5 linked regions of the Macaca mulatta genome follow. The protein of the gene in region 1 interacts with the protein of each later gene in a biochemical or structural test. Links are inferred from orthologs where the notes say so. Each region holds a gene or a part of one and is shown in the gene's direction. Other genes may lie near its edges.

Region 1 (6,667 bases):
CCAGGAACTAGAAGAGGAAGGAGAAAGTAGGATGGGAATCCAGCCAGGCTAGTCAGCAGATCATAGGTGCCTTAAAACAGGCAACTGTCAAACTCTACAAGCACACAATTGAAGAAAGAAGGCATTCAGGAGAAAGAACTAAAAGTGGACAGAAAGGAAATGAACTAGAGATGTTGGGGGCTAAGGGCCGAAGAAGGTTGTAAAAACTCAAGGGCCCACAAGCTTGACCACCTACCCAGTTGGCACCCGATACCTGTGCTAAACCCACCTGAAGCGCAGGAGCCCCTCCCGGCCATTGGTGGCCTCTTCCTCAGGGAATAGCAGCAGAGGAGTGGGGGGAAGCCTCGTGGAAGCACAGAATCTCTTGAGTGACTCCACCAACTCCCCCCGCCCATCCATCTCCATGAAGCCCCGAGACCAGCACACAAAGCTGGGGGGACTATTAAGTAGAGGCTGGGAACCAGGAGAAGAGAAAGCAAGAAGAAAAAAATTGAGGAAAATGAAAAAAAATGACATGTGGGGTAGAGGATCGGGGTTAGGGGTAAGGCTCAGTATCCTCCATGGGGAACGCGAGTGGGACAGGGGGGCCTTCAGCTGGGCCCCAGGGAACCGCCCCGTGGCGCTCTCGGCCTCGCTCTCACTCACGGTGCTACAGGTGGTGAGCAAATTGACTATGTTGTGGTCGAAAGGTGTCACGTGGTTGGAAATGAGGACCCTGACACTGTGATCCCGGAGTCCGGAGTCCTCCTGCCGGGCCACGAGCCCCAGCACCGCACACATGGTCCGCACTACGAACCTGGGGACACAGGCGGTGGTGACTGTGTGGCCTCGGGCCAGGCCCAGCTTTGACACTCCCCAAACGCCCGCGTCAGAACCTGCGAAGGACGCTGTCTGGCAGCGCGCAGCTGACCAGGAAGACGTGAATCCCGAGAAAGAGGCGCAGGACGAGGAGGCAGAACCCGACCGGCGCGTAGAGCAGCAGCGCGAGCAGCAGGAAGCAGTCACCCGGGAGCCTGGGGGCGAGAGGCGAAGTGGTCGGGCGCCGAAGGCCGAGAGGACGCAGGGGTAGGTCTCTTCCCGCCGGGTCTCTTACCGGTGCGAGTCAAAGAGCCGCTCCGGCCCCGGCCCTGAGGGAAGCTCCATAACTGCTGCTTCAGGAGCGCCCAGCCGTCGCCGCCGCCATCTTCGCGCCCGGCCGCAGGGGCTCCTGGGAAGGCGGAGTCTTTGGGCATCCGCCCGGGGTGACAGGACCCGAAGTCTTGAGGCGCGCCGGAAGGGCTAGCGGTCCCAGCATACCCTGCGGCCCCTTGGGCCGTCTCACAACTCGCGTCCCACGGAGACCACAATTCCCGGCATTCGCGGGACGGGGAGGAGTCGGCCTCCCGGAATCCTGGTCCCGACGTGCACTTCTGGAGGACTTCAGGTACCGGCGTGCCCCGCGTCCTACTGTCCGCCTGCTCGCGTCCTGGGTGCCGCCTCTGAGTAGGGCGGGCGAGGAGGCAGCCGAGGCGGAGCTGATGGCTGCGCCGAGGGCGGGGCGGGGTGCAGGCTGGAGCCTTCGGGCATGGCGGGCTTTGGGGGGCATTCGCTGGGGGAGGAGACCCCGGTTGACCCCTGACCTCCGGGCCCTGCTGACGTCAGGAACTTCTGACCCCCGGGCCCGAGTGACTTATGGGACCCCCAGTCTCTGGGCCCGGTTGTGTGTTGGGGTCCCTGAACCCCGAGCATGTCTGACGTCTGGGACCCCGGGTCCCCGGGCACAACTGACTGCGGTGACCCCAGATACCAGGACCCGGGAGGCCTCAGAGAACTCTGGAACCCGTTCGCGCGCGTGGCTGGCTGTGGCACTGGGCGCTGGGGGGGCAGTGCTGTTGTTGTTGTGGGGCGGGGGTCGGGGTCCTCCGGCCGTCCTCGCCGCCGTCCCTGGCCCGCCGCCCGCTTCTCCCCGGAGTCAGTACAACTTCATCGCAGATGTGGTGGAGAAGACAGCACCTGCCGTGGTCTATATCGAGATCCTGGACCGGTAATGGGGGTAGACCGGGAGGCACTGAAGCCACGGGCCGGAGGGCGGGCGGGTAGGAGGGGTCAGGGCCTCCTCTTATCCGTGCTTTCCCTCCATTCCAGGCACCCTTTCTTGGGCCGTGAAGTCCCTATCTCGAACGGCTCAGGATTCGTGGTGGCTGCCGATGGGCTCATTGTCACCAACGCCCATGTGGTGGCTGATCGGCGCAGAGTCCGTGTGAGACTGCTTAGCGGCGACACGTATGAGGCCGTGGTCACAGCTGTGGATCCCGTGGCAGACATCGCAACGCTGAGGATTCAGACTAAGGTGGGGGCTGGGGTAGGCCAGGTCTAGTTGGAGCTGCTTGTTTGTTCGCATCTCCAGATGACAGGTCTCTTATACCCATTCTCCCTTAGGAGCCTCTCCCCACGCTGCCTCTGGGACGCTCAGCTGATGTCCGGCAAGGGGAGTTTGTTGTTGCCATGGGAAGTCCCTTTGCACTGCAGAACACGATCACATCCGGCATTGTTAGCTCTGCTCAGCGTCCAGCCAGAGACCTGGGACTCCCCCAAACCAATGTGGAATACATTCAGACGGATGCAGCTATTGATGTGCGTCCTGATAGGAGAGAAATGACACATGATGGGGGAGTGGGGAGAGGCTGTGTGGTACAAGCACCAACTGATATATGGTGGATGAGCCTATATACAGAGCTTAGGCTGCAAAAATGTGGCCACTCATTCATGGGCTGAGAAAGAAGAGAATTTGGAGAAAGTACCTACATCCTGGTATGCCCCCAGACTTAGAATCCTCAGATCTCTTTCATGTTTTCTCCTTGTCCTGCAGTTTGGGAACTCTGGAGGTCCCCTGGTTAACCTGGTGAGTGAGACATCCTTCCTTCCAAGAATCCCAGCCCCAGGTCTGTGTGGGAAGGGTAGGTTTTCCCTAATTCAAGGATGTTTGGTCAAGTTTCTGAGCAGTTCTTTGTTGGCTATCTCTCAACATCCAACTGGATCTCCCCAACACTTGCTGCTACTTTTGTTCGGGTGCCCCCATCCCCTACTATTTGTTTGGGCTAGGGAACTGGGGGATGTATCCCTGCAGGATGGAGAGGTGATTGGAGTGAACACCATGAAGGTCACAGCTGGAATCTCCTTTGCCATCCCTTCTGATCGCCTTCGAGAGTTTCTGCATCGTGGGGAAAAGAAGAGTGAGCCTGGCTTATGGGGAAATACGGGAGGGGCATTCATTGGGACTTCCTGGAGGGTGGTCTATTGGGAGAAGAGGGCAGGGAAGGAAGGATGTAGCTGGGTGGGGCTTATTTGTCCCTCTGTCACAGATTCCTCCTCTGGAATCAGTGGGTCCCAGCGGCGCTACATTGGGGTGATGATGCTGACCCTGAGTCCCAGGTATGAGCTTTAGGGATAGTGACATGTAATGTGACCAGTGTAATCAGAGGTGGGCACCTCTATTGAGCTTTGTTCTCATTTCTGTCTTTATCTAAAATGAACTGTGTCACACTTGAAATAATCACAAGAGCTGTCTCCCTTCATCATCTTGACTTTCTTATTCCACTCCACTTTCTACACCTGTCAGACTGATTTCATCCTGTTACTGCTTTGATTTCAAGCCTTCAATCCATTAACTTGGCATTTAAGGGCATTTTCCATCTGTCTGTAAATCAACTTTCTAGACCTGGCTGTAATACCTTCCTATATGAATACTCAGCCAACCTGATTTCCTACTCCCATGTTTTTTATTTATGCTGTTCTTGTTTTATATGGTTAATATTGGACCCATCCTTTTAGGCTCAGCTTAAGTTTTTTCCCCTTAAAGCTTCTTTTAGTACTCTAGAATGACATTAGTGCTATTGATTTCATACTGTTTGTCATTTGGTGCCCTCATGTGGTGTACATCTTTTATGTACATGTTGCACTTTATTGCTAGAAGACAGAAAGTGAGTTGCCGTTGTATTTTGTAGTACCTAGCGCATGTCCTGTCCATCTATTTGCCAATGTGTTGATGAGAGACTTGAGGTGGAACTCAGGATGGGGAGAATGCCTGGGTTTGGCTAATAGGGTGATCTGTGTACTTTCAGCATCCTTGCTGAACTACAGCTTCGAGAACCAAGCTTTCCTGATGTTCAGCATGGTGTACTCATCCATAAAGTCATCCTGGGCTCCCCTGCACACCGGTGAGGGAGAGGCTGCAGTGTGATATGGGGATGGGTGAGGTGTGCATGTGTCCTTGAACTAGGCTTTGTACTCCTTCTTTTCTCTCTGTCCATTTTTCTCTGTAGGGCTGGTCTGCGGCCTGGTGATGTGATTTTGGCCATTGGGGGGCAGATGGTACAAAATGCTGAAGATGTTTATGAAGCTGTTCGAACCCAATCCCAGCTGGCAGTGCAGATCCGGCGGGGACGAGAAACACTGACCTTATATGTGACCCCTGAGGTCACAGAATGAATAGATCACCAAGAGTATGAGGCTCCTGCTCTGATTTCCTCCTTGCCTTCCTGGCTGAGGCTCTGAGGGCGCCGGGACAGAGGGTTAAATGAACCAGTGGGGGCAGGTCCCTCCAACCACCAGCACTGATTCCAGGGCTCTAAAGAATCACAGAAACACTTTTTATATAAAATAAAATTATACCTAGCAACATATTATAGTCAAAAATGAGGTGGGAGGGCTGGATCTTTTCCCCCACCAAAAGGCTAGAGGTAAAGCTGTATCCCCCTAAGGTTAGGGGAGATACTGGAGCTGACCATCCTGACCTCCTATTAAAGAAAATGAGCTGCTGCCATCTTTTGTTGTGGGCAGTTAGTCAGGTGCTGCTCTTTGTGGTGTGGTGGGCTCTGCTCTGTTCTGCTCGGTGCTGGGCCTGGGAGAAAAGATTCCCATGCTTGGCTACAGGTACTGACAGCTGGCCTCTGAAGGAGGGTGAGAACTTCTGCTTGACAGTTCCACATCCATAGTACATGGTCTGATGAGTGCGGTTGCTGACATGGGTTTCTTGGTAAGCTCCTGAGGTAATGGCAGCCTCAGACCCCTGCCATTAGGGGCCAGTGGTGGTTTGCAGAGGGCGATGGCACTTAGATAATCTGGTTGCTGGTCTGGCCAGGGTAGCGTTCAAACCTCCTGTTGGCCTCTTCACTGAAGGCATCACCTGCAGAGTGGACAGGCAATTTGGGAGGCGCCCTGCACAGAGGGAGGAAGACAGACCCACTGTGGAGAAAGATGGGTACAAGTGGAGGGACTGAGAGCTCCAGAGGAGGGTGGGAAGATGCAGAAACAAGTTACAGAAAAGAGAATGAACGTCTTTCCCTCCCATCCCCTAATCTTCCTGGGTTGCTCTTCCCATCAAATACCAATGTGGCAGTTGTGCACCCAGATTCGATGTCCATCATATTTGCAGTTACATTTCATTGCATTGTTGGTAAAGTCACTCTCTGCTACTTCAAAATTTGGGTTGATGACAATCTGTGAGTGAGAAAAAGGCCACTTAACCCAGCAACAATCCTCAAATTCAAAGGTGTCTTTAACGCTCCCCCCAGTCACCCATCTGGAAGCCCCAGACTCCAGGTACCTGGAGAATGTAGTTTCCTGGCTTCACATCTGTGATATCAATCCACTGACAGTCAATGTCATGCCGGTAGAGATCCCAGCAACCCACGGTGATGCCTTGCTCTCCAAAGTTGGCACACTCATATCTCTTGGAGACATCTGGAGGGATTGGCATATGTCAGTGTAAGGAAAGGCTGTGCGATGGATACCATGTGGTCCACTTCAGGCCCCAACTCACCCTCCTGACACTCAGTGTCTTCGAGACAAAAACTAGCTTTGTGGCCCTCAGCTACCTTGGTGCCATTTGGGGTGAGGATATCATAGTGAGTGAAGATGTCCATGCTGTGGTAATGCCTGTGGGGAGAAGGGAACTTCTGTTTCCTTCTCTTCCCCCAGAAGGTTTGCCCCATCCCCGTGGCCTTGCCTTTCTACTTGACTCCCTACCCTCTCACCCATGGCACTCGTGCCACACCCAGGAGTGGCGCCCAGCCTTGGGCCTGAAGTCAGCTCGTCCCAGGTTGTGGATCTGGGAGGAGAATCGGAGTAGACGTCGGTGACCATAGGGCCAGTTGGCTGAGCGGGCTGAGCTGGCCAGGCAGTTCTCTTCCGCAGCACAGTACAACATATGCAGGGGCCGGTCTTCGATATAGGCGGTTTCCTGCACCAATGCTGAGTGCAGCAGCAGATCCGATGCAGCTGCACCGATAAAGGAAGAGGGTGTTAGAAGTCACTGCTGACTTCACAGAGAGGGGTGCTTCCATCCCTCCCTAGTGTGTGAGACTGTTTTTTTGGTTGTGGTTTTTTTTTTTTTTTTTTGAGAAAGAGTCTCACTCTGTCGCCCAGGATGGAGTGCAGTGGCGTGATCTTGGCTCACTGCAACCTCTGCCGCCCGGGTTCAAGTGATTCTGCTGCCTCAGCCTCCCAAGTAGCTGGGATTACAGGCGCCTGCCACCGCACCTGGCTAATTTTTGTAGTTTTAGTAGAGACAGGGATTCACCATGTTGGCCAGGCTGGTCTTGAACTCCTGACCTCGTGATCCATCTGCCTTGGCTTCCTAAAGTGCTGGGATTACAGGTGTGAGCCACCACGCCTGCCTGGTGAAACT
Region 2 (5,486 bases), on another chromosome or scaffold:
GAAGATGGATATAAACAGAGAAGAAACAAACTTTATAGTCCAACAATTCTCTGGATAGTGACACAAATAAGGAAAGTGTTAAAATGAAAATCTCAGTCTTATTGGAAATGAGGAGAAATAATTAAACTAAAATATTCATGGTAACCGTTTAGTGAAAAAAAAAGATAAAAATAAAATGTGACTTTTTTGTACACATTTTCTTGATTAGTCTCTTCCAGTAGAACTGAGGCTCCATCAGGGAGTAATATCAGGACTGTAATATTTTGCTCATTGCTGCAGTCCTGGTCCCTAGACAGTGTCTGGCAAGAACAGATTCTAAGGAAATATTTTTAAATTAATGAATAAATCTTTCCATATATATTTATAACTTCTTTATGCCTTTTGAAAAATTCAATACTGCAAATGGGACGTTTTTAAAAGTGGGGATGAGTTGTTAGCTGAAATATCTGAATAGTTGGCAATGAAGTTTGGAATTTGATAAATGAGAATAGCAAGCCAGAATAGATTTTGACCTGAGTCATATGATATAACTTCTATTTAGTATTTATTCTATTTATTTTCTAAAATGTAGACATTTTTGTCATACATTGTCTCTCTTTTTTATAAAAAGTAACCTTACCTAACTAAATAAGAAAATATATCCAATTGACCAATCTATCACTATTCCATTTTTTCTCCATTCACAGGACTTAGTAGCCATGAAGGTCATCATTCTTGCCTGCCTGGTGGCTCTTGCTCTTGCAAGGGAGGTATGTGCACAAGAAAAAATTCATAAAAATCAAGAAATAGTGGACTATATGCCTATTTGTAGAGAATAACATCACCAACATTTTTTACTTTATAATAAAGAAGAATTTCATGAAAATTATCTTGACTTCTATCAAAATCATTTATATTTACCCACTGTCTCAACAGTTTCCTATAGTGCTCCAAATGCTTCCGACACCAATGTGCTGCTAGTCACTAAAGAAAAAGCAAACAAATCAATAAGTAATAAAAAATCATAAAAATGGCAACAAATACATGCATAAATAACTCCACAGATGCTCAACCTAGATAAACATATCTTATTCCAGTCATAAAATGTATATATATCTTATAGCCTAGGGCACTGGGTCCAAGTCTGTCTATACAAAGGCATCCATAGGATGAAGTACAGACACAATCATAATCCTAATCATACATTCATAATAATATAGTAAAAATATTTAATACAAATTAAAGTGACTCAACCATCAAAAACTGTCTTTAATAAATGTAAGATAAAAGTATATTAATAAAAATTACTAAATGTAAAAGACATTAAAGCAATTACCTTTCAAGCCTCAAAAGTCATATAACATTTTTAATTTGTCACATTTGTGAAAGAGATAGATCTGCATAAATGATGTAAAAATTAAGTAGGATACATGTTTAACAATGTGTTAGCTGTAGAAACTGAATTTTTAAACATCTTTTCAGAAGGAACAATCCAGTGCATCCTTTGAGGTAAGATTTTTTTTGTTTAGAGAAAATTTATGAACCATAAAATAGTAAAATTCTCTAATGATCTAGAAGATGTAGCTGGTTGTCATTTTTTTTTTTTTTCCACAGACTGTAGAAAATCTTTCAAGCAGTGAGGTAAGTTAACATTCTGCCCAATTTTAGAAGAGTAAAATCCTGTGCTATTTTTCTATGGTGTTATATCATGGCAGTTAAGCTAATGCCACTATGTCAATGACATATAAGTTCTAGTATACATTTCCTTTATATATGTTTAAGGACAATAAGTATCTGGAAAATACAACATTCTGGAACTTTCTAAATTGGCTTGCTACTTGAAATTGTGTTATGTTGCTTCCTCTTTTTTTTTTTCTTTTTTAATGAACCATACAGTCCTGTTTTCTGCCTTGAACTCTCTTTACTCTGAACTCATTCACTTTGAGCATATATTGAGGGTCTTCTATGGGTCAGACATCGACTAGGAGCTGTGGTACAAACTGAAAAGATAGAGATGCGAGTGATAGTTAAGAGCTTGCTAAGCAGTAGGTAAGCAGATATGAAAAAGGTCACATTTTATAATTACAATTGCCACTTTAGCAAATAAGTGAGATTTAGTGTAGTCCTAAATCTACCTGAGAGAGTCAGGTAGATATTTATTCTTACATCTCTCTTCTTGGGTGTGTGATCACTTGATAAGTAAATGGTACCTCAATAGACTCTGTTTCTTCAGGAAGGTTGTATGATCCTTAAGGGAAATGTTTAACTCTTCTGATTCATTTGAAGTGATCATAATGTATCAATTGTTATTAGAACATATTTTCAAAGAGTATTGCCTTTTTTAAAAAACCAAATGGGGTTTTAGAGATCATTTGTTGTCAGGGGATGAGCATGGTGGTAGAGAGAAATTAGCATCTATTAATTGCTTTTTTTGTGCCATGTCCTTCTTGACTGCATTCATCTGACTTTCTTTTATACAACAAGCTTATATAGAACAATTTAATATATAAGCTTTAATGATTATACAAAGTTATTAATGATATTATCAAACAATTAATGCCTTTATTTCCTGATTTATATTGCAAAGTAAGAATTGTTAAAACTAAATCTAATTTTATTTTATATTTTTCCATAGGAATCTATTACACAATACAAGGTAAATTTTCACATTTAAAATGTACATATTTTCAAAATTTCCTCTAATTTTTACAGATGGTAACATATTTTTATATATGATTTATTTTTAGCAGACAGTTGAGAAGGTTAAACATGAGGACCAGCAGCAAAGAGAGGTAATTTGTTAACGATAAGTATATTTCTAAAATTATCATAAAGTATAATACATACAAAAATATTTATAATGTATATGTTGATTCTAAAGAATGGTAATAAAATAAATGCCATATACCCACGAACCACTGTAAAAAAATTAAACATTGATAAAGTCAATATATTTTCTAGGATATGCATGCATTTTTAAACTCATAATTAATTTCTGGAATATAGACTAAATACATAATGATATTACTAATGGTATATCTGTTTTCAACAAGCGCACATTGGTGGGAACATTTCCAGGTTGGGAACTATGATCCTCTTATTTTCAAGGTGGATATGGTAATGAAAAGGAGTATACAGCTGGTAAAAAATAAACTATGTAGAATTTGTGCCATACTGCCTTCATTCCCGTATGGACAACACAAAATCCTGTATTTCATTAAATTACATTTATGGTGATATGTTTACCTAATCACAATTTTCAGTTGCTTTGTGTATCAATGAATTGTTTGGTATCACATAAAATATTTTTAAAATCAATTTTAAACAAAAAAATCAATGTCTCTTGAAAGACTCAAGAGACTATCTTCTCCCAAGGGAAGGAATGCAAGAATTTGGCTGGTGTTAAATCACTTCCTGAGATAAGCCACAAATTAAGACTGATTTTCTTTTTCATCAAACCAAAACAAAACAAAAATGAACCTTGGAATTGTCCCTCTAAGTCTTTTTAAACTGACCTCTTTTCACTGTGTGAAAACAATTTGGTCTATTATTGGCACAACTGTGTTGAAAAGTAAATTCTCTCTGAAGACCAAAGTGTACAGTTACAGCTATACAGGCAATTCAGGAAAAGGTTAAAAGAATGTTTCTGAAATATCCAAACATTGATTTCACTTTGGCCTGTGTAGTTACCCATGAAGTGAGTGGATTAAAATCTTTCAACAAACATTTTACTCATTTTTCCTCACATAACTCAAGATAATTTCTTAACAAAATAAGTGAAATATTTTCTTCCTCTCTTTCTACTCATTTATCATTGCCTAAAAGAGAGAAATGAATTCATTATGAATGGCAATTATAGCTGAATCAAGGACTCAAAGATTCTTTTTCCTTCTTTCCAGGATGAACGCCAGGATAAAATCGACCCCTCTTTCCAGCCACAGCCTCTGATCTATCCATTCGTTGAGCCTATCCCCTATGGTTTTCTTCCACAAAACATTCTGCCTCTTGCTCAGCCTGCTGTGGTGCTGCCTGTCCCTCAGCCTGAAATAATGGAAGTCCCTAAAGCTAAAGACACTATTTACACTAAAGGCAGAGTGATGCCCATCCATAAATCTCCAATGATGCCCTTTTTTGAGCCTCAAATCCCAAAACTCCCTGATCTTGAAAATCTGCATCTTCCTCTGCCTCTGCTCCAGCCCTTGATGCACCAGGTCCCTCAGCCTATTCCTCAGACTCTTGCGCTTCCCCCTCAGCCCCTGTGGTCTGTTCCTCAGCCCAAAGTCCTGCCTATCCCCCAGCAAGTGGTGCCCTACCCTCAGAGAGCTGTGCCTGTTCAAGCCCTTCTGCTCAGCCAAGAACTTCTACTTGATCCCACCCGCCAGATCTACCCTGTGACTCAGCCACTTGCCCCAGTTCATAACCCCATTAGGGTAAGTACAAATTTACTGACTTTGCTGTTTCATTCAAAATGTGTATGGGATGGTAGAATAAAAGAATAAATGTAGAGTAAATGAAAATAATAAAGCAGTTTAGATAAGTGATTCTTAATGCTTACCTATACAATAGAATCATCTGGAGAACTTTTCCCCACAAATCCCAATGCCTATGCCTACCCAGAGATTCTAATATAATTATTCTCGTTCTTTGTGTAGAGGAAACTGAGTGCTGAGAAAAAAGCTATTGCATGAATTCTGATTTAATTAGTCTGTTGAGAATTCTGATTTAGATAAAGTAATTAAAGCTTACAAAAGCCAGAATTAAATTTAATAGTATGCTTGAATTTGGAATAAAAGAGCTAAAAAATGTTCCATCATTTTCCTTGTGCACATCTATTTTACACAAGCCTTAGTTCACATCTTGTTTTTGCTGTAAGTATATATGAAGGCAAAAGATTGAGATGCTTATTTCACTACTTATGACATTCTTAAGGCAAGTTTTCCTACTAAGAGGCTAATTAATTATTTATTTATTTGTATTTGTTTATTTTTAAGGTCTAAGAGGATTTCAAAATTAATTTTCCCTTCTCATTTTTGGTAAGTTTTGGGAGTTTGGAGATAAAATTGATCATTTTTATACATGATGTCTTTCCACATTTAATTCTAGAGAAGACCAATATAGTGAAAATTTCATACATATAAGAACTTTTTTTTATTAATTATCAACTCAATGGTTGACTATCATTTACTGACCTGAAACTATCTATCTTTTGCATTTCAAATAACTTTAATTTTATTTATGTACTATTGACAGATTTGACTGACTTGCTTTCAAGGGCCCATATACTTACCTTTGATTATCACTATTTTTAGGAAAAACAGAATATCTTTTTTATTTTACTTTTATGGAAATACATTTGAGCCTTTGTCAAAAGCCTGTTTGCATTTTTATTTCCAACCTACCCTTCATAAAATTTGTATTTACTTTACTTAAAATTATCTTTTAATTCATGAGTTCAAATTACTCCAAATGTAAACGTTAAAAAGAGGAGAGAATAGTATTGCAATTCT
Region 3 (6,168 bases), on another chromosome or scaffold:
CCTGGGAGATGGAGGTTGCAGTTAGTCTGTGCCACTGCACTCTAACCTGGGTGACAAAGTGAGACTCTGTTTCAATTTAAAAATATATATATATTTAAATATATTTAAAATCAGTACTAGCTATGAATATTACAAATAGATACGCCCTTTGGCTTAATAATGCCACCTCTAATAATTTATCTACAAATATGCATGCATATATATGAAACTATATCTGTTCAAAAAAAATTTTTTTTTCTTTTTTTTTTTTTGAGATGGAGTCTTGCACTGTCACCCAGGCTGGAGTGCGGTGGCACAATCTCAGTTCACTGCAGCGTTGGCCTCCTGGGTTCAAGCAATTCTCCTGCCTCAGCCTCCCGAGTGGCTGGGACTGTAGGTGCACACTACCACGCCTGGCTAATTTTTTTGTATTTTCAGTAGAGATGGGGTTTCCCCGTGTTGGCCAGGCTGGTCTCAAACTCATGGCCTCAAGTGATCCACCTACCTCAGTCTCCCAAAGTGCTGGGATTATAGGCGTGAGCCACAACACCTGGCCTGTTCAAAATTTTTCATTGCTGCATTTTTTTTAATGTATAAAGCAAAAGACTGGGAATAACCTAAATGTCTATCAGTGAAGGAACTGATTAAATAAATTAGGGTATATCCATAAGGTGAAAAACAATGGTAACATTTTTTAAAGTGAGGAAATACTTTCTATACTGATACAGAATCTTCATTTTGTTTAATGAAAAAAGCTAGGCGTAGTAGTACATATAGGATGTACAGTACTAACTTGTATATGTATATCCCTGAAGTACCTTATTAAAGATCGGTCGGCTAAAGAACAGAAGTATGATATTGTACTTTGTGAATTTTGAGCCATCAGTCAAGAATACTTTTTTTTTTTTTTTTGATACAAGGTCTCGCTCTATCTCCCAGGCTGGAGTACAGTGGCATTATCTTGGCTCACTGCAACCTCTGCCTCCCCGGTTCAAGCAGTCCTCCAACCTCAGCCTCCCTAGTAGCTGGGACTACGGGCACGTGCCACCACACCTGGCTCATTTTTGTGTTTTCAGTAGAGATGGGACTTCACCATGTTGCCCAGGCTGGTCTGAAACTCCTGGGCTCAAGCAATCCACCCACCTCAGCCTCCCAAAGTGCTAGGATTACAGGTGTGAGCCACCACGCCCGGTCAAAAATAAATAAAATTTTAAAAGGTGAAAGGAAACCACTTACTGAAATTTTATTTTTATAACTCTTCTTTTTTCTTTTTCTGCTAAATTGAGCTAAATAACATGTATTATTACCTCACATATCGTTTTTTTGTAGTGAGAACACTTAAAATCTACTCTCTTAGCAGTTTTCAGGAGTACAATACATTATTAACTATAGTCACCATTTTGTACAAGAGATCACTTGAACTTTTTTATATTTTTATAATTCTTGAAAGAGAATTGAGTATCATTTGTAGTATCAGAATTGCAAGCTTTTCAAAAATAAGAGGTTGAAAACATGATTCTTTTTCCTCTTTATCTCTCTTATACCCATAGGGAATGTGCAACAATCAGTTAACCGCAAACAGAGCTGGAAAGGTTCTAAAGAATCCTTAGTTCCTCAGAGGCATGGCCCACCACTAGGAGAAAGTGTGGCCTATCATTCTGAGAGTCCCAACTCACAGACAGATGTAGGAAGACCTTTGTCTGGATCTGGTATAACAGCATTTGCTCAAGCTCACCCCAGCAACGGACAGAGAGTGAACCCCCCACCTCCACCTCAAGTAAGGAGTGTTACTCCTCCACCACCTCCAAGAGGCCAGACTCCCCCTCCAAGAGGTACAACTCCACCTCCCCCTTCATGGGAACCAAACTCTCAAACAAAACGCTATTCTGGAAACATGGAATACGTAATCTCCCGAATCTCTCCTGTCCCACCTGGGGCATGGCAAGAGGGCTATCCTCCACCACCTCTCAATACTTCCCCCATGAATCCTTCTAATCAGGGACAGAGAGGCATTAGTTCTGTTCCTGTTGGCAGACAACCAATCATCATGCAGAGTTCTAGCAAATTTAACTTTCCATCAGGGAGACCTGGAATGCAGAATGGTACTGGACAAACTGATTTCATGATACACCAAAATGTTGTCCCTGCTGGCACTGTGAATCGGCAGCCACCACCACCATATCCTCTGACCGCAACTAATGGACAAAGCCCTTCTGCTTTACAAACAGGGGGATCTGCTGCTCCTTCGTCATATACAAATGGAAATATTCCTCAGTCTATGATGGTGCCAAACAGAAATAGTCATAACATGGAACTGTATAACATTAATGTACCTGGACTGCAAACAAATTGGCCTCAGTCATCTTCTGCTCCAGCCCAGTCATCCCCGAGCAGTGGGCATGAAATCTCTACATGGCAACCTAACATACCAGTGAGGTCAAATTCTTTTAATAACCCATTAGGAAATAGAGCAAGTCACTCTGCTAATTCTCAGCCTTCCGCTACAACAGTCACTGCAATTACACCAGCTCCTATTCAACAGCCTGTGAAAAGCATGCGTGTATTAAAACCAGAGCTACAGACTGCTTTAGCACCTACACACCCTTCTTGGATACCACAGCCAATTCAAACTGTTCAACCCAGTCCTTTTCCTGAGGGAACCGCTTCAAATGTGACTGTGATGCCACCTGTTGCTGAAGCTCCAAACTATCAAGGACCACCACCACCCTACCCAAAACATCTGCTGCACCAAAACCCATCTGTTCCTCCATATGAATCAATCAGTAAGCCTAGCAAAGAGGATCAGCCAAGCTTGCCCAAGGAAGATGAGAGTGAAAAGAGTTATGAAAATGTTGATAGTGGGGATAAAGAAAAGAAACAGATTACAACTTCACCCATTACTGTTAGGAAAACCAAGAAAGATGAAGAGCGAAGGGAATCTCGTATTCAAAGTTATTCTCCTCAAGCATTTAAATTCTTTATGGAGCAACATGTAGAAAATGTACTCAAATCTCATCAGCAGCGTCTACATCGTAAAAAACAATTAGAGAATGAAATGATGCGGGTAAAACCTTTTAAAATGTCCATTTTTATACTTAAAATCTATTTGCTTGGTGTTTATTTTAAAATATTGTGCTCCAGTATTTTTCTTTTTTTATAGCTAACTACAATATATTATCAGTTACAGAATTTAAAAGTGAATAAATTTAAAGTACTTTTGATTGTAGCATTTTTTTTTTTTTAGTATTTCAAGATTTACTCAGAATTTCCTCTAATAAAATCTTGTGTAAATTAAGAAAAATATAATTTGCAGTGTACAGTTTAGGTGTACATAATACCTTTATATGAAAATTGGAGGAAAGGTTGTTTTCTAGGTTTTATACATTATCTTACAACATTTAAACATAAATTAGAAATTTGTGGGTCTCAAGCCGGGCACGGTGGCTCACACCTGTAATCCCAGCACTTTGGAAGGCCGAGGCAGACAGATCATGAGGTCAGGAGATTAAGACCATCCTGCCTAATACGGTGAAACCCCGTCTCTACTAAAAGTACAAAAAAAAAATCAGCCGGGCGCGGTGGCAGGCGCCTGTAGTCCCAACTACTTGGGAGGCTGAGTCAGGAGAATGTTGTGAACCTGGGAGGTGGCAGTTGCAGTGAGCCGAGATCGCGCCACTGCACTCCAGCCTGGGCGACAGAGCGAGACTCCGTCTCAAAAAAAAAAAAGAAAGAAATATGTGGGTCTCATCTCCTGATATACTTACGAAACAATTCCTTTTACTTGTAGAAAATTTGGAGTTTATGGGTTTATTCATCACATAGTTCTTATTAGAAAGTGTAAAAGAAATTCCCTTCAGTTATTTCTCCCTTCTCATTTCATTTTTATAATATACTAGAGAAAAATGTGCTGAAATTATTTAGTCAAACTGCACTAAAAGGGAGATCAGAATAAGTAAACACACTTTAATATGTATTGTCATTTCACATAGATCTCTTCACTAGATATTAAGGTAGTGCGATCATCATCTTTTTTTTTTTTTTGAGACGGAGTCTTGCTCTGTTGCCAGGCTGGAGTGCAGTGGCACCATCTCGGCTCACTGCAACTTCCACCTCCCAGGTTCAAGCAGTTCTCCTTCCTCAGCCTCCCCAGTAGCTGGGACTACAGGCACCCGTCACCACACCGATCTAATTTTTTATTTTTAGTAGAAGCGGGGTTTCACCGTGTTGGCCAGGCTGGTCTTGACCTCTTGACCCCATGACCCACCCGCGTCTGCCTCCCAAAGTGCTGGGATTACAGGCGTGAGCCACTGCACCCGTCTATTATTGTTTTTATCATATGCTTACAGTTCAAATATTTGACTCCTAATCTTACATCTGTCACTCACAATCCAAGAGGCTTAACCTTGTGATTAAACTCCTTTATATATATACTTGAGAGAACTATTCTTTTAAAATGATTTTTCCATATCTGATTTTACAGTATTGTTGTTTCCATTTTATATTTTATTAAATGAGAAATACCATAATAATTTCTATGACTTATTCATATTTTAGTTCTTAGGATTTCTTACTAAAGTCTGTCTATGTGTATTTTCTTAGTTTATTTTTCCTTTTTCCTCTTCACTTTCACTAATAGCTGATTTAAACTTTTATGGTGTTGGAAGCTTTGCTGACTTCTGTAGTCTCCATTACTGTGTAGGCAAGTAAGATTTTAAGAGAAACAGTTCTGAACTAAGTCTGGCATGCCACCCTTAAAAGATTTTGCATGCAAATACGAATCCTAACAGAAGCATGTGGTTGCTCTATTTTAGTCTTGTATTTCTAGAATTAGACCCCACTTTTCCAATTGAATTTCTTTTCATTTAAACCCTTTAATTAATTCTTTATTCATTAGCCAAAAATGTTTCTCCCTTCTAAATCCAGGCATTCCATATCTATAATACTTAGAAGTTAGTTTTTGTTTTTAATCTATTTTTTGATCTGTTCATGAGTCACACTGACTATTCTTTGAAGTATTCCTAAATATCCAAAGGATATCTTGTGAACAACCAGGTGGTTCTTTTCGAAGTAGGAGAAACCCTTTGCAATTTGTGTTAGTGGTGGGCCGTGAGTCGCACCTTTACTCTAATGCCCTGAAAAAGAGAAAAGGAAAGATTATTAATGACTATTGTGTATTTATTGAGAATGGGGAAAGGATTGGTGGGTTAGAAAAGGCATTGTTTTGTTGTTCTTTGGTACATTAATTTTTTAGAATAAATGAACCTGGAGTGGAAGAATTTTTTTTTTTCATGAAAGACAAAATAGGAGGAAGAATATTTGAGGCCTAGGCATTCCACCAAGAGAAGCATGTAACAGAGAGATAAATGAAGATGCATGTTAACAGGTGTTTGTTGCACATTGAGAACCTTTTTTTTTTTTGGAGTGCATTAGAGAAGAGTAGAAAGCTTACTCATCTGGTACCCTCTTCTTGCGCTCCACAGCTGAATTTGCATATGTATTCACTTTGAATATCCTTTTAACTACCCCTTAGGCTGCACTTTTGATCATTAATTTCCTTTGAAATGTTTTCTAGATTTCTAACATGCTTTATTAAAATTATGTATTTAACCTTTAAATATATGCCTGAAATTTTTCCAAGCTATTTCTTAATATTCAATATTGAAGAAGATAATTCTTATTTAACATCTAGTTTATTTGCCTAGGTTGGATTATCTCAAGATGCCCAGGATCAAATGAGAAAGATGCTTTGCCAAAAAGAATCTAATTACATCCGTCTTAAAAGGGCTAAAATGGACAAGTCTATGTTTGTGAAGATAAAGACACTAGGAATAGGAGCATTTGGTGAAGTCTGCCTAGCAAGAAAAGTAGATACTAAGGCTTTGTATGCAACAAAAACTCTCCGAAAGAAAGATGTTCTTCTTCGAAATCAAGTTGCTCATGTTAAAGCTGAGAGAGATATCCTGGCTGAAGCTGACAATGAATGGGTAGTTCGTCTGTATTATTCATTCCAAGATAAGGACAATTTATACTTTGTAATGGACTACATTCCTGGGGGTGATATGATGAGCCTATTAATTAGAATGGGCATCTTTCCAGAAAATCTGGCACGATTCTACATAGCAGAACTTACCTGTGCAGTTGAAAGTGTTCATAAAATGGGTTTTATTCATAGAGATATTAAACCTGATA
Region 4 (6,767 bases), on another chromosome or scaffold:
CTGCCCACCGTTGTGGCCCTGCAGCCGGAGATCTGAGGTGCTCTGGTCTGCGTGTCATTCCTCTTTCCTTGTCCCAGGATGGAGCTGATCCAGTAACCTCGGAGACGGGACCCTGCCCAGAGCTGAGTTGGGGGTATGGCTCTGCCCTGGAAAGGGGGTGACCTCTTGCCTCGAGGGGCCCAGGGAAGCCTGGGTGTCAAGTGCCTGCACCAGGGGTGCACAATAAAGGGGGTTATCTCGCTCGGTTCATATCCAAAGGCCACTCCAGGCCCTGCTGCCCCCGCCATCCCCACTGCTGGGCATGGGGGGAGTGTCTGGGTCACTCTGCATCACTCACCTCTAGCTGGCCAGATCCCTCAGGCCCCCAGTCAGACCAGTGGCCATCTTCTGGCACCCTCCCTGCTCCCTGGAGGGTCTGAGCCCAGGGGGACCAGGGGAGGACACGGCTGATGGGTGGGCTCTGAGGGCACAGGGTGGGACGGCCACCCAGATGGTGACCCCAGCTGCCCTGTGGGGATGTACTGGGCAGGCTTGGCTTTGGGCCAAGATCCAGACACCACCTCCCTACCCCTCAGTGGTCAGGGAAGCTGGCTGGGGGGGAGTTGGGTGTCAAGGGAGCAAGGGTCTGCCCATCCCTGGGTGGGGGCTGGGTGGGCTAGGGAAAATAGCTTTCCTTTCCTTCCTGGTGAAGGAAAAAGAGGCCACTTTAACCCAGAGAATGTGTGTGCTGGTCCCGTTCCCACTATGCTCTGCAGCTTACGTGTGGGGGAGGGGCCAGACCATTTGGGGTCAGGCAGTGTCTCTAGGGGCCAGGGACAGTCTGTGCCCTTGCTTGGGTCTTGGGTAGGGGTGGAAACTGTCTGGGAGTTGGGGGCCCTCCTGGGGCCTCATCAGTGTAGTGGTCAGTCCTGGGGGAAGTCCAGTGTTGGCGGTTGGGGGTGGGAGCAGAATGGGGACACAGCCCCCCCTCAGAAGCCTGGTCTGTGCGGGGCCTTCTGGACCCCTGAGCTCCACCACGGGGAGTTAAGGGGGACAGCAGTGGCAGCTGGGCTTCCTGAAAGAGGTAGATGGAGTGCCACAGGCAGCCCAGGGCACAAAGGGTGCAGGCCACAGGCAGCTGTGGTTTGGGCAGCCCCGGGCTGCCCCTGCTCACTGGGCACGAGCTGATGAATGCCACGGAACACAGCCCAAAGCCCAGGTGTAAAGCTCCTCCCGCCCTTGAGCGGCTGAGCTGCTGATTCATGGCCGGAGGGCGGGGCAGAGGGCCCTAGCGATCCTGTTACCCACCAGCCCAGTGGGCTCCCGGGGTGCACCCACATCCCTCCTCAGACCCAGGTTTCTGGACTGCGGTGGGGGTGTCAGGGTGGGGCTTCGCCCACCAGAGCATCTGGTCTAGGATGGGGCCAGACATATGGGAGGATAATGCCCACACAGAGGGGTCAGGCTGAGGGCCCCAGCAGGTCCCCATCCCTGCTGGAGACAGTGCAGCCACCCTCAGCCTGGGTTTTGCAGGACAGGACAGGCAGGGATGGGACGGGCAGGGGCACCAGCACTTGCAACACTTGCAGCAGTCACCCCGCAGATGGGGGGAGCAGGGGGAGGAGTTGGGTGTCCAAAAGGGCCCTCGGGGACCTATGGGACTGAGAGGCCCGGGGTCAGTGGCCACAGGGGTGGGGTTGGGGATGCAGCCTGAGGATTTTGGGAGACAGACCCCTCCGTGTAGAAAGAGGGATACAGGCAAGACAGGTGCAGATGGACCCCCCATTCGGGGATGGATGGATCAGGCGCAGAGGTAGGGCATCCTTGGGGGTGGCGTGGGAAGTTGACTCTAGGTACACAGGGCTCAGCCCAACTTGGGACTGCCGATAGAAGTCAGCGCTCAGGCTGTCAAGGATGGGCCCTGCGCCCTGGAACCATGGGCAGTCAGGACTGGAGCCCAGGGTCTCAGCAGGAGCTCCCCACTCCCCCGGCTCCACCCCCAGAGCGGGGCAGTTCAGCCAAAGGGGAGAGGCTGACAGGGGTATCTCCGCGCCGCGTCCGGCCCTAGGTCGGAACAAAGCTGCGGGGCGGCGCTCCCCTCCCCCTGCGCTTCCCCCCAGGCTCCGGCCCTCCCCCGGCGGCGGCCGCCTCGGGTTTCCGGAGGGGCCGGAGGGCGGGCGAGGGCGTCACGTGCGCGCCGCCCGCGGGCCGGTTGGTCCCCGGGCGGGGGAGGGGCCGTGCGCTGCCTGGGTCGGGGTCGGGCCAGGGTCGGCACCTGGGACATCCCCGAGGGAAGGGCCGGGAACAGGAGCGTCCCAGCGGCGGGCGGGCGAGCAGCGCGGAGTCGGCCCGGGGCGCACGCCGAGGAAGCCCCGCCGATCCCAGGTCCCCGGTCCTGGGGCACCGCCCGCGGGCTCTGCGGGGTGGGCGGCTCCCGGGCCTGCCATGAGCTCTCCGCCGCCTGCCCGCAGTGGCTTTTACCGCCAGGAGGTGACTAAGACGGCCTGGGAGGTGCGCGCCGTGTACCGGGACCTGCAGCCCGTGGGCTCGGGCGCCTATGGCGCGGTGTGGTGAGCGCGGGGCGGCCGGCGGGGCGGGCGGGGCCTGCGCGGGGTGCCCGGCCTTCCCGCTAAGCGGTCCGCCCCGCAGCTCGGCCGTGGACAGCCGCACCGGCGCTAAGGTGGCCATCAAGAAGCTGTACCGGCCCTTCCAGTCGGAGCTGTTCGCCAAGCGCGCCTACCGCGAGCTGCGCCTGCTCAAGCACATGCGCCACGAGAACGTGAGTCGCGCGACCCCGCTCCGGGAAGGCGCCCCGGCCTCGGCTGGGTTCGGCTGGGCTGGGTCCCTCCACCCGGCAACCCCTTCCCCAGGCAACCTGCTGTGGGGCGGGGCGGGGGTCGGGCCGTGGGCCCCCAGGGGAGAAGGAGAGCAAGGAGACGACTCCCCCAAGGGCCATTCCCCCTCCTCTGCCAGGCCCGGGAAAGAGCCCCTTGACTTGGCGTCTCAGCCAGGCCCTGGTCAGGGGACACGACTTGGCCAGGCCCAGGGGATCCTCCAGGTCTCACGCCAAACCCTGCCCCCAGCCAGGAAGCCCGCGGTGAGAGGATGCTCCCGGCAGGAGGATTTTCCTGGAAGGGGCACCTTCTCTTTCCCATCCGGGCCCCTCTCCAGCCCCTCTGTGGAGCCCACTTTGTTGCTGTCCATCTCCCGAGTCTTCCGACCCGGTGGAGGGGGAGGAGGGGGGCGCCAGAACGTAGGGAGTATGGTGAACCCTGGGGGTGAGTGAAGGGTTCAGGGAGCTGCTGTTTGGGGGGCACTGGGCGTGGTGGTCATCTCACAGACACCCTCCCTTTCGTTGTGGGGGCCCATCCTTTCCAGTCCTGCCTGTGAGATGCCATGCACAGCTGCCCTGGGCCTCTCCCACGGAGTGGCTGGCTGCGAAGAGCCGGACTTCTCTGCCAGGGGCCCTCTGGTTTCTGGACACAGTCCCACTTGTCCACTGCCCCCCATGTCACTCCTGCCCTGCCCCTGGTCTGGGCCCAGCCTGAAGGCAGGTGGCCTGGGCGCCCGGACCCTAGCTCCAGTGTGAGATGCTCTGGACCCTCCTGGGTCATCCGAGCCACCGGTGCCCTGGGAGAATGAGTCCCTGCGTCCACCAGCAAACCACCCGCCCCCTGGTTCCTGGCCACCGCCACTCTCTCAGCCCCTTGGGTGGGTCCTTTTCTCTGAGGCTTCCCATAGCCCACCCTGACCCCAGCTCACCACCCCGGGCCCTGTGAAATCTGTTTGCGGTGGACACCAACCTTGCCCCCACCTCGACACCCCCGTCACACCCGGCCCTGCCCCCACCTTGCCACCACTGCACTCCCCCATCCCGCCCGTCACACCGAGACCTTGCCCCAGGACTGTAGCCTTCCCCTCGGCCCCCTGCCCCCACCCACCCACTCACTCACCTGCTTGGGCCTTGCCCCATCCAGCCAAGTGCTCTGGGGCTTTTCTTTCTTCTTTTTTTTTTTCTTTTGAGATGGAGTTTCGCTCTTGTTGCCCAGGCTGGAGTGCAATGGCATGATCTCGGCTCACCACAACCTTTGCCTCCTGGGTTCAAGTGATTCTCCTGCCTCAGCCTCCTGAGTAGCTGGGATTACAGGTCCATGCCACCATGCCTGGCTAATGCTTTGTATTTTTAGTAGAGACGGTGTTTCATTATTTTGGGCAGACTGGTCTCAAACCCCTGACCTCGAGTGATCCGCCTGCCTCGGCCTCCCAAAGTGCTGAGATTACAGGCCTGAACCACCGCGCCCGTCCACTGGGGCTTCTCTTTTTTGAGATGGGGTCTCCCTCTGTCGCCCAGGCTGGAGTGCAATGGCGCGATCTGTGACCTCCACCTCCTGGGTTCACACAATTCTCCTGCCTCAGCCTCTCTAGTAGCTGTGACTCTAGGCACCCACCACCACACCCGGCTAACTTTTTGTATTTTTAGTAGAGACAGAGTTTCACTATGTTGGCCAGGCTGGTCTTGAACTCCTGACCTCGTGATCCGCCTGCCTTCGCCTCCCAAATTGCTGGGAGTGCAGCCGTGACCCACCGCGCTGGGCTTTTCTTTAGCCACCGCCCTGCTGTCCTGGGGTCCCCGCTGTGCCTGGGGGTCCACCCCCTGGGCTCCCGGCCTGCAGCTGAGGCTCCTTCCCTGGAACCCCATCTTCCTGGAAGACTGAAGCTCTGTGAGGCCACATGCCTTGCTCAGCGGGGGAGGAGGCTCTGCCACAGGCCCCAGTCCTGCCATCCCCATGCCACCTCCCTCTCCAGGCCAGCCCCCACACCACAGAGGCCAAGCCAAGTCCTATGGCCCCTAGCCCACAGGACCCTGCTTTCCATCTTCTGCCAAAGCGCTCTCCTGGGCACCCTCCAGCTGTCGTGTCCACAGACCCCACTGTTCCCAGGCCTCCCTGGACGGGCCTCTGTTCCTTCTCCTCCTCCCTCCACATTCTTGCCCATGGCTCTGGCAGAGCTGTCCTTCCAGTTTAGGTCCATTCTTGCTTCACTCTGGCCAGTCCCTACACCACGGCCAGCAGGACGCGTTTAGCATCACACCCATTTAAATCCTTCCCTGTCTCTTGGGATCAAAGCCAAACTTTCACCTGGTGTGTGCTGCCCTGCCGGCTCCCTCTGGCCTCTCCTCAGCCCCTCCCTGGCCTGGGCCTTGGCCACCTGGCCTCCCTCCCTGTGTTCCTCAAACTCTCCCAAGTGTTCTCCCTCTTGCCTTGGCCACTCTGCATGTGCCCTCTGCCGGGTGTCCCGCAGCCCACATGTCTACCTGCCCCTCCATCCTTGGCTGTGCAGAACTTCTCCGGGCCTCCCTGGGACCCTGTCACCCCAAAATGCTGAGGCAGCAGTTATCACATGACCTGTCCACTGTCCATCTCCCCAACCAGGGGTGCTGTGGGGACCAGGTCTGGCGGGTCATGGTGCTGTCCACCTGGGCCTCACCAGCAGAGGCCTGGCCTCTCCTCATAGCACTATCCCTTCCCTGGGTGTCAGTCTGCTTGGTTGGGGAGAAGAGGGGAGAAAGGGGCAAGTGGTAGGAGCCCTTTGGATGGTTCAGAGCCAGCCCAGACTCCGGGTTGCCCTTCCCCCAGAAGATCCCGGCTGTCACCATCCAAAAATAACCTGTCTGTGGGTATGTGTGCCAGGGCTGGGCCACGCTGCCAGTGGGCAGAGCCAGGCCCTTTGGACAGTGGGGCATGACGACAGCTGCAGAGGGGGTTTCCTGCCCAGAGGGCTGTGCCACTCTTGGGGGGGGCCCCAGCCCGTGTCCTCCGCTGCACTCTCAACCCTACCTGGCCCCCCAGGTGATTGGGCTGCTGGATGTGTTCACTCCTGATGAGACCCTGGATGACTTCACAGACTTGTGAGTGCCGACCTGGGCTGGCTGCTGGGCACAAGGGGTGGTGGGCAGCTCTGGGCACTGGCTTCAGGTTCCAGGTTGGCATGGGGTTCTCTTCCTGTAGCCTGAGTGGGGGATGCACACTGCCAACCCCCCCCATACTACTCTGCCCCACACCCTCCCCCACATGGTCCTGGGACCCACAGCTGGGCAGAGCTGGGGCTGCTGCCTCCCTTCACGCCTGGCACCTGGGCTCTCCGGCACCGGAGGTGTGAACCTTGGACCTGACCATTAGTTAACAGGAAGGTCCCGTGCTCGGGACCCTGGCACCAAGTGTGTGGCCGGTAACTGGAGCTGCTGACCTTTCCCAGCAGGTGGGGGAGAAGCGGTAGGGAGGACCCACCCTGCCCTTGCCCTGCAGCCGACCACCCCGGGACTCACACCTTGTCGGCCAAGAGTGAAGGGCCAGGCTGAGGAAGGCCTGGAGAGGGTAGCAGATGTCTCCCGCCTGACTTGCAGAGGTCAAGGACCCACGCTGGCCTCAGTGGCCTCTGGGGAGGTGCTAAATACCATTCTCCTGTGTCCGTCTCCACCGGCTCAGCCAGCCCCTCTGACCCAGATGCCTTGCCTTGCCCCCATCGCCCCCAGGCACCTCCCTCATCTCTGGCACAAAGTTCCGAGGTTGAATCCTGACTGCCTCCCTCCCCTGCCTGTGAAGACTCGAGCCCTGCAGCCTCAGCCCCAGCCTGGCACGCAGGGCGCTTTAGCAGAGGGTTCAAAAACCCCAAAGGGAGGCCGGGGCGGTGGCTCAAGCCTGTAATCCCAGCACTTTGGGAGGCCGAGACGGGCGGATCACGAGGTCAGGAGATCGAGACCATCCTGGCTAACACGGTGAAACCCCGTC
Region 5 (6,168 bases), on another chromosome or scaffold:
CATGGCTGGCTAATTTTTGTTGTTGTTTTTTTAGTGGAGATGGGGTTTCACCATGTTGTCCAGGCTGGTCTCAAACTCCTGACCTCATGATCCACCCACCTCAGCCTCCCAAAGTGCTGGAATTACAGGCGTGAGCCACTGCACCTGGCCACCTTTTTCACTTTCTTGTTGGCATTCTTTGAAGCATAACGTCTTTAATTTTTTTTTTTTTTTGAGACGGAGTTTTGCTCTTGTTACCCAGGCTAGAGTGCAATGGCACGATCTTGGCTTTCCGCAACCTCTGCCTCCTAGGTTCAAGCAATTCTCCTGCCTCAGCCTCCTGAGTAGCTGGAATTACAGGCGTGCACCACCACGCCCGGCTAATTTTGTATTTTTAGTAGAGACAGGATTTCTCCATGTTGAGGCTGATCTCGAACTCCTGACCTCAGGTGATCCACCTGCCTCAGCCTTCCAAAGTGCTGGGATTACAGGTGTGAGCTGCTGTGCCCGGCCAAACGTTTTTAATTTTTATGAAATCCAATTTATCTGTTTTTTTGTGTGTGTTGCTCATGCTGTTAATGTCATATTTAAAAAACCATTGCCTAATCCAGGGTCACCAAGGTTTATACCTATGTTTTCTTCTAAGAGTTTTATGGTGTTATATCTTACATTCTGGTCTTTGATCCATTTTGAGTTAATTTTTGTATATGGTATGAGGTAGGGGTCCATGTCCTTCCTTTTTGTTTTTAGCAAGTTGAGTTTGAGATACCTGCAGGACATTGAAGTAGGAGGATAATAAAACCTGTATAAATGAGAGTAAGATGGTGCTGGTAGGGGAAGTGTCTGGAAAGACCTTTTTTTTTTTTTCTTTTGAGGCAGAGTCTCGCTCTATCACCCAGGCTGGAGTGCAGTGGCGCAATCTTGGCTCACTGCAACCTCCGCTTCCCGGGTTCAAGGGATTCTCCTGCATCAGCCTCCCGAGCAGCTGGGACTACAGGCACATGCTACTGCACCCAGCTAATTTTTGTATTTTTAGTAGAGACAGGGTTTTTTTTTGCCATGTTGGCCAGGCTGATCTTGAACTCCTGACCTCAGGTGATCCACCCACCTCGGCCTCCCAAGGTGCTGGGATTATAGGCGTGAGCCACTGCACCTGGCTGGAAAGACCATTTTTAAGAAGGGTCGATGAGGGATTCGAAGGGAACCACCAACATCTCATTAGATGGGCACAAGTAAAGGAGCAACAAAACAAACTGAAAATAAAAACAAGTCAAAGATAGAAGCAAGAAAGAGCAATGTATAGTTGCCCTCTGGACATTTCTACCTAGAATGCATCTCTAAAAACCACTCAGACTGAATCCAATCCTGCATTTTTTTCTCCTGTATTGGTTAATAGTACCACAGTTCACAAGGTTGCCCAGTAATTTATGTGTTCCTAAGCTCTTTGCTCTCTGTAATCCTTTTACATTTAATTAATCATCAAATTTGATGGATTCCACCTTTTTAATGTTGCTTCAGACTTTCCCACTTACTCTGCTCTAGTTCAGGCCCTTCCTTGTTTTTCATCTGGACAATTGTAGTAGTCTCCTAACTGGTCTTTTTTCTATATTATAACCTCCCAACAGAGGTTTTCTTTTTTTTTCTTTTTTTTTTTTTTTTTTAGACGGAGTCTTGCTCGATCGCCCAGGCTACAGTGCAGTGGCATGATCTCGGCTCACTGCAACCTCTGCCTCCCAGGTTCACGCCATTCTCCTGCCTCAGCCTTCCGAGTAGCCGGGACTACAGGCGCCCATCACTATGCTTGGCTAATTTTTTTTTGTATTTTTAGTAGAGACGGGGTTTCACTGTGTTAGGATGGTCTCGATCTCCTGACCTTGTGAACCGCCCGCCTCAGCCTCCCAAAGTGCTGGGATTACAAGTGTGAGCCACCATGCCTGGCCCAGAGTTGTGTTTTTTTTTGTTTGTTTGTTTGTTTTGAGACGGAGTCTTTGGTCTGTCACCCAGGCTGGAGTGCAGTGGCGCGATCTTGGCTCACTGCAAGCTCCGCCTCCTGGGCTCACACCATTCTCCTGCCTCAGCCTCCCGAGTAGCTGGGACTACAGGCGCCCGCTACCACGCCCAGCTAATTTTTTGTATTTTTAGTAGAGACGGGGTTTCACCGTGTTAGCCAGGATGGTCTCGATCTCCTGACCTTGTGATCCGCCCGTCTCGGCCTCCCAAAGTGCTGGGATTACAGGCGTGAGCCACCGCGCCCAGCAAGAGTTTTTTTTTTTTTTTTATCAAAACACACATCTTAAGTTACTTTCCTACCGTAAAAATATATTTTGTTATTTACTATATATGTTCTTTATACTAGAATCTCTATATCTCTTCCTTTCCAGCCTCCTCTATTTATTTACTTATTTATTTATTTAGATAGCATCTCGCTCTGTCGCCAAGGCTGGAGTGCCATGGTGCAGTCTTGGCTCACTGCAGCCTTCGCCTCCCAGGCTCACAGTATCTTCCAGTCTTAGCCTGCAGAGTAGCTGGGACCGCAGGCGTGTGCTGCCACACCCAGCTGATTTTTATATTTTTTACAGAGACAGGGTTTTGAACTCCTAGGCTCAAGCTATCTGCCTATCTTAGCCTCCTGAAATGCTGGGACTACAGATGTGAGCCACCATGCCCAGCCTTATGTTTTATTTTTATTTTTTAATAGAGACAGGGTCACACTTTGTTGACCAGGGTGGTTTCAAACAGCAGACCTCAAAGAATCCCCCTGTCTTGGCCTCCCCAAAGTGCTGGGATTACAGGTATGAGCCACTGCACCCGGCCTCCTCTCTTTCAAAAAAACATTTATTGAGCTATAATATACATATAGTAGCCAGGTGTGGTGGCTCACGCCTGTAATTCCAGCACTTTGGGAGGTCGAGGAGGGTAGATCACAAGGTCAGGAATTTGAGACCAGCTTGGCCAATATAGTGAAACCCCGTCTCTACTAAAAATACAAAAAGCCGGGTGTGGTGGTACATGTCTGTAATCCCAGCTACTCCAGAGGCTGAGGCAGGAGAATTGCTTGAACCTGGGAGGCAGAGGTTGCAGTGAACCGAGATCACACCATTACACTCTGGCCTGAGTGACAGAGTGAGACTCTGTCTCAAAAAAAAAAAAAAAAAAAAAAAATATATATATATATATATATATATGTATGTATGTATATATATACACACACACATACAGTAAAGTGCTTCAAGTACCCTAATCATAAGTTTTCTACTTGATGAATTTTAACGTATGTATGTTAAAATATATATTAAATAAAATATGTGTTAAATATATATTAAAATGTGTCTGTTAAAATATATATATTTATCTGTGTAACTATCCCCCAGATTAAGACATAGAACATTTCCACAACCCTAGAAAGCTCTTTCATGCTCCTTCCCCATCAGTACGCACCCCCAAGTTACATTCTGGCTTCTGTTACCATAGATTAATTTTGTTTATTACCATAGATTAGTTTTGAAGTTCTTATAAATGGACTCATGCAGTAGGTACTCTTGTGTCATAATGATGAATTATGATTCTGGTTTGCTCGTTATATCTATGAGATTCATCCATATTGTCTGTGGCAATAGTTTTTTTTCTTGCTGTGTAGCTTATGAATATACCACACAATCTATTCACCTGATGATGGACATTTGAGTTGTTTCCAGTTTGGGGCTATTATAAATAACACTGCTATGAATATTCCTGTGCATATCTTTGGCAGAGATATACACTCATTTTTAATACCCAAGAGTGGAATTGATGAGTCAGAGGGTATAAGTGTCCTCTCTTAGCACTTCCCTACACATGCTGTGTTCCTACTTTGAGTATCATAAAAACAGGTTTCCATTGACTTTCTTGCTTTATCCAGTCCTACCCGCTCTACTACAGAAATGAAGTTTGAGAGCTAGGAAATTGACATGTTCAAGGTTATAGACTGGGATTTCCCTAATTTCCCATCATTTTCCCCAAATAATTGCTAGTGACTCAGTAACAACATCCACTCTTTAAGTACCTTAGGTTAATTGTTAAAGAGTACAGCTAGATTTTAAAAAGTTCAGATTTTTGAAGCACTTAACCTTTTTCTTGCCTGTTTTACCTTGCATCGTCTCAAACACTACAAAATACATACTCATTGCATTTACAATTAATTGTAAGATTCTGAAAGTGATTTTTCAGTGCCTGAATACTTCAAAAAATCTTCCCAAAGCAGCTTTGCTTTGCTGGTTTGTTTTTGTTCTTTTGCTTGCTGCTGAATTTTTTCATTTTAACTATATTTTGCTATTGAGTTGTGATAATGAAAATAATTGTTTAAATTCTATGTTCTTTTTCCTCACCAATTTTTATTTCAGATGATACCATCTTCCAAAATCCTATGGTACAAGAAGCTATACGAATGGGGTTCAGTTTCAAGGACATTAAGAAAATAATGGAGGAAAAAATTCAGATATCTGGGAGCAACTATAAATCACTTGAGGTTCTGGTTGCAGATCTAGTGAATGCTCAGAAAGACAGTACGCAAGATGAGTCAAGTCAGACTTCATTACAGAAAGGTATGCATTGCTGTTTTTAAAAAGCAAGAAAGGGCCGGATGTGGTGGCTCACACCTGTAATCCCAGCACTTTGGGAGGCTGGGGATATGGACATTTTTTAAACATAACCTTAATGCTGTGTGTTAGTCTGCTCAAGCTGCTATAATAAAATTCCATTGACTAGGTGTCTTAAACAACAGACTTATTTCTGACAGTTTCGGAGGCTCCAAAATCAAGGTGCTGGCCGATTTCGTTATTGATGAGGGCCCTCTTCCTGCCTTGCAGATGGCTGCCTTCTCACTGTGTCCTCACATGGCATGGGTTGGGGGTGGATGGGACAAGATGGAGCAAGTACTCTGGTCTCTTTTCCTCTACTTTTAGGGACACTAATCCCATCATGGGGGTCACATCTTCATGACCTCATCCAAACTTAATTAGTTCCCAAAGGCCTCATTTCCAAATATCATTACATTAATCATGGAAAAAAGATTAAAAATATGAATTCTACCAGCCTGGGCAACATAATGAAACTGTCTCTACAAAAAATACAAAAATTAGCCGGGCATGGTGGTGTGTGCCAGTAGTCCCAGCTACCTGGGAAGCTGAGCGGGGAAGATCACCTGAGCCAGGGAGATCAAGGCTGCAGTGAGCCATGATCATGCCACTGCACTTCAGCCTGGGCAGCTGAGCGAGATCTTGTCTCAAAATATATATATATCTCCTTTAAGGATGATGGACACTATAGTGCTTGCCAACAACATCGAAGGTTAAAGAAGAGGTTTCACGGCCGGGCGCGGTGGCTCAAGCCTGTAATCCCAGCACTTTGGGAGGCCGAGACGGGCGGATCACAAGGTCAGGAGATCGAGACCATCCTGGCTAACACGGTGAAACCCCGTCTCTACTAAAAACACAAAAAATTAGCCGGGCGAGGTGGCGGCACCTGTGGTCCCAGCTACTCGGGAGGCTGAGGCAGGAGAATGGCGGGAACCCGGGAGGCGGAGCTTGCAGTGAGCTGAGATCTGGCCACTGCACTCCAGCCTGGGCGACAGAGCGAGACTCCGTCTCAAAAAAAAAAAAAAAAAAAAGAAGAGGTTTCAAACTGAGTACACTTTTGGGTACTATACCTGTAATAGTTCTCTAAGCTCTTGACTATCCTCCCTCCAAAAAGATGAGAATTCTCCTACTGCTAATAAACTTAAACATTTACTTATTTTTGACACATTTAAAATCCTTGTGATCTTTAAGATATTTCAAGTGCTTTTGAAACATTATTCAGATAATTACTTAAGTTATGAAACAGTATGAACATTAATGATATTTAAAATTATATTCATTGATGTAAGAATCAATGGAAAGCTTCCAGTTTTTCCCTTATAGATGCATTTATTTAAAACTTACACAGGCTCCACTTATCTTGGTGGTGGTAAAATAAACCCTTTACTTGGTCATCTTTCTTTCTTTATTTTTTTTAAGACGGAGTCTCACTCTGTCGCCCAGGCTGGAGTGCAGTGGCACGATCTCAGCTCACTGCAACCTCTGCCTCCCCGGCTCAAGCAATTCTCCTGCCTCACCCTTCCGAGTAGCTGGAATTACAGGCATGCGCCACCACGCCCGGCTAATTTTTTGTATC

What was found.
Region 2: of the proteins of HTRA2 (region 1) and CSN2, one has a biochemical effect on the other in vitro, tested with the Homo sapiens proteins (2 studies listed by BioGRID). The link is inferred for Macaca mulatta from reciprocal best matches to the Homo sapiens genes HTRA2 and CSN2.
Region 3: the proteins of HTRA2 (region 1) and LATS1 form a complex in vitro, tested with the Homo sapiens proteins (2 studies listed by BioGRID, with this or other methods). The link is inferred for Macaca mulatta from reciprocal best matches to the Homo sapiens genes HTRA2 and LATS1.
Region 4: of the proteins of HTRA2 (region 1) and MAPK12, one has a biochemical effect on the other in vitro, tested with the Homo sapiens proteins (2 studies listed by BioGRID and IntAct, with this or other methods). The link is inferred for Macaca mulatta from reciprocal best matches to the Homo sapiens genes HTRA2 and MAPK12.
Region 5: the proteins of HTRA2 (region 1) and XIAP form a complex in vitro, tested with the Homo sapiens proteins (10 studies listed by BioGRID and IntAct, with this or other methods). The link is inferred for Macaca mulatta from reciprocal best matches to the Homo sapiens genes HTRA2 and XIAP.

What each region holds. Positions count from the first base shown.
Region 1 is NC_133418.1:50,270,823-50,277,489, reverse strand, and holds the end of HTRA2 (serine protease HTRA2, mitochondrial), read left to right. Parts: coding exon of another isoform or gene 1-7; intron 8-268; coding exon of another isoform or gene 269-1,013; intron 1,014-1,092; 5' UTR 1,093-1,093; coding exon of another isoform or gene 1,094-1,232; 5' UTR 1,233-1,517; coding exon 1,518-2,023; intron 2,024-2,124; coding exon 2,125-2,329; intron 2,330-2,418; coding exon 2,419-2,613; intron 2,614-2,848; coding exon 2,849-2,881; coding exon of another isoform or gene 2,882-3,106; coding exon 3,107-3,212; intron 3,213-3,341; coding exon 3,342-3,411; intron 3,412-4,100; coding exon 4,101-4,196; intron 4,197-4,301; coding exon 4,302-4,467; 3' UTR 4,468-4,683; downstream 4,684-6,667. Other genes in the region: lipid droplet-regulating VLDL assembly factor AUP1, read right to left, coding at 1-7, 269-796, 876-1,013, 1,094-1,143; LOXL3 (lysyl oxidase homolog 3), read right to left, coding at 5,091-5,164, 5,367-5,478, 5,585-5,721, 5,801-5,916, 6,015-6,258.
Region 2 is NC_133410.1:63,894,613-63,900,098, forward strand, and holds part of CSN2 (beta-casein), read left to right. Parts: intron 1-686; 5' UTR 687-698; coding exon 699-749; intron 750-1,461; coding exon 1,462-1,488; intron 1,489-1,593; coding exon 1,594-1,620; intron 1,621-2,614; coding exon 2,615-2,635; intron 2,636-2,726; coding exon 2,727-2,771; intron 2,772-3,878; coding exon 3,879-4,409; intron 4,410-4,970; coding exon 4,971-4,976; 3' UTR 4,977-5,012; intron 5,013-5,486. UniProt on the Homo sapiens protein: Important role in determination of the surface properties of the casein micelles.
Region 3 is NC_133409.1:68,187,251-68,193,418, reverse strand, and holds part of LATS1 (serine/threonine-protein kinase LATS1), read left to right. Parts: intron 1-1,529; coding exon 1,530-3,043; intron 3,044-5,681; coding exon 5,682-6,168. UniProt on the Homo sapiens protein: Negative regulator of YAP1 in the Hippo signaling pathway that plays a pivotal role in organ size control and tumor suppression by restricting proliferation and promoting apoptosis.
Region 4 is NC_133415.1:1,184,331-1,191,097, forward strand, and holds the start of MAPK12 (mitogen-activated protein kinase 12), read left to right. Parts: upstream 1-2,152; 5' UTR 2,153-2,424; coding exon 2,425-2,549; intron 2,550-2,628; coding exon 2,629-2,758; intron 2,759-5,828; coding exon 5,829-5,887; intron 5,888-6,767. UniProt on the Homo sapiens protein: Serine/threonine kinase which acts as an essential component of the MAP kinase signal transduction pathway.
Region 5 is NC_133426.1:130,330,982-130,337,149, forward strand, and holds part of XIAP (E3 ubiquitin-protein ligase XIAP), read left to right. Parts: intron 1-4,358; coding exon 4,359-4,559; intron 4,560-6,168.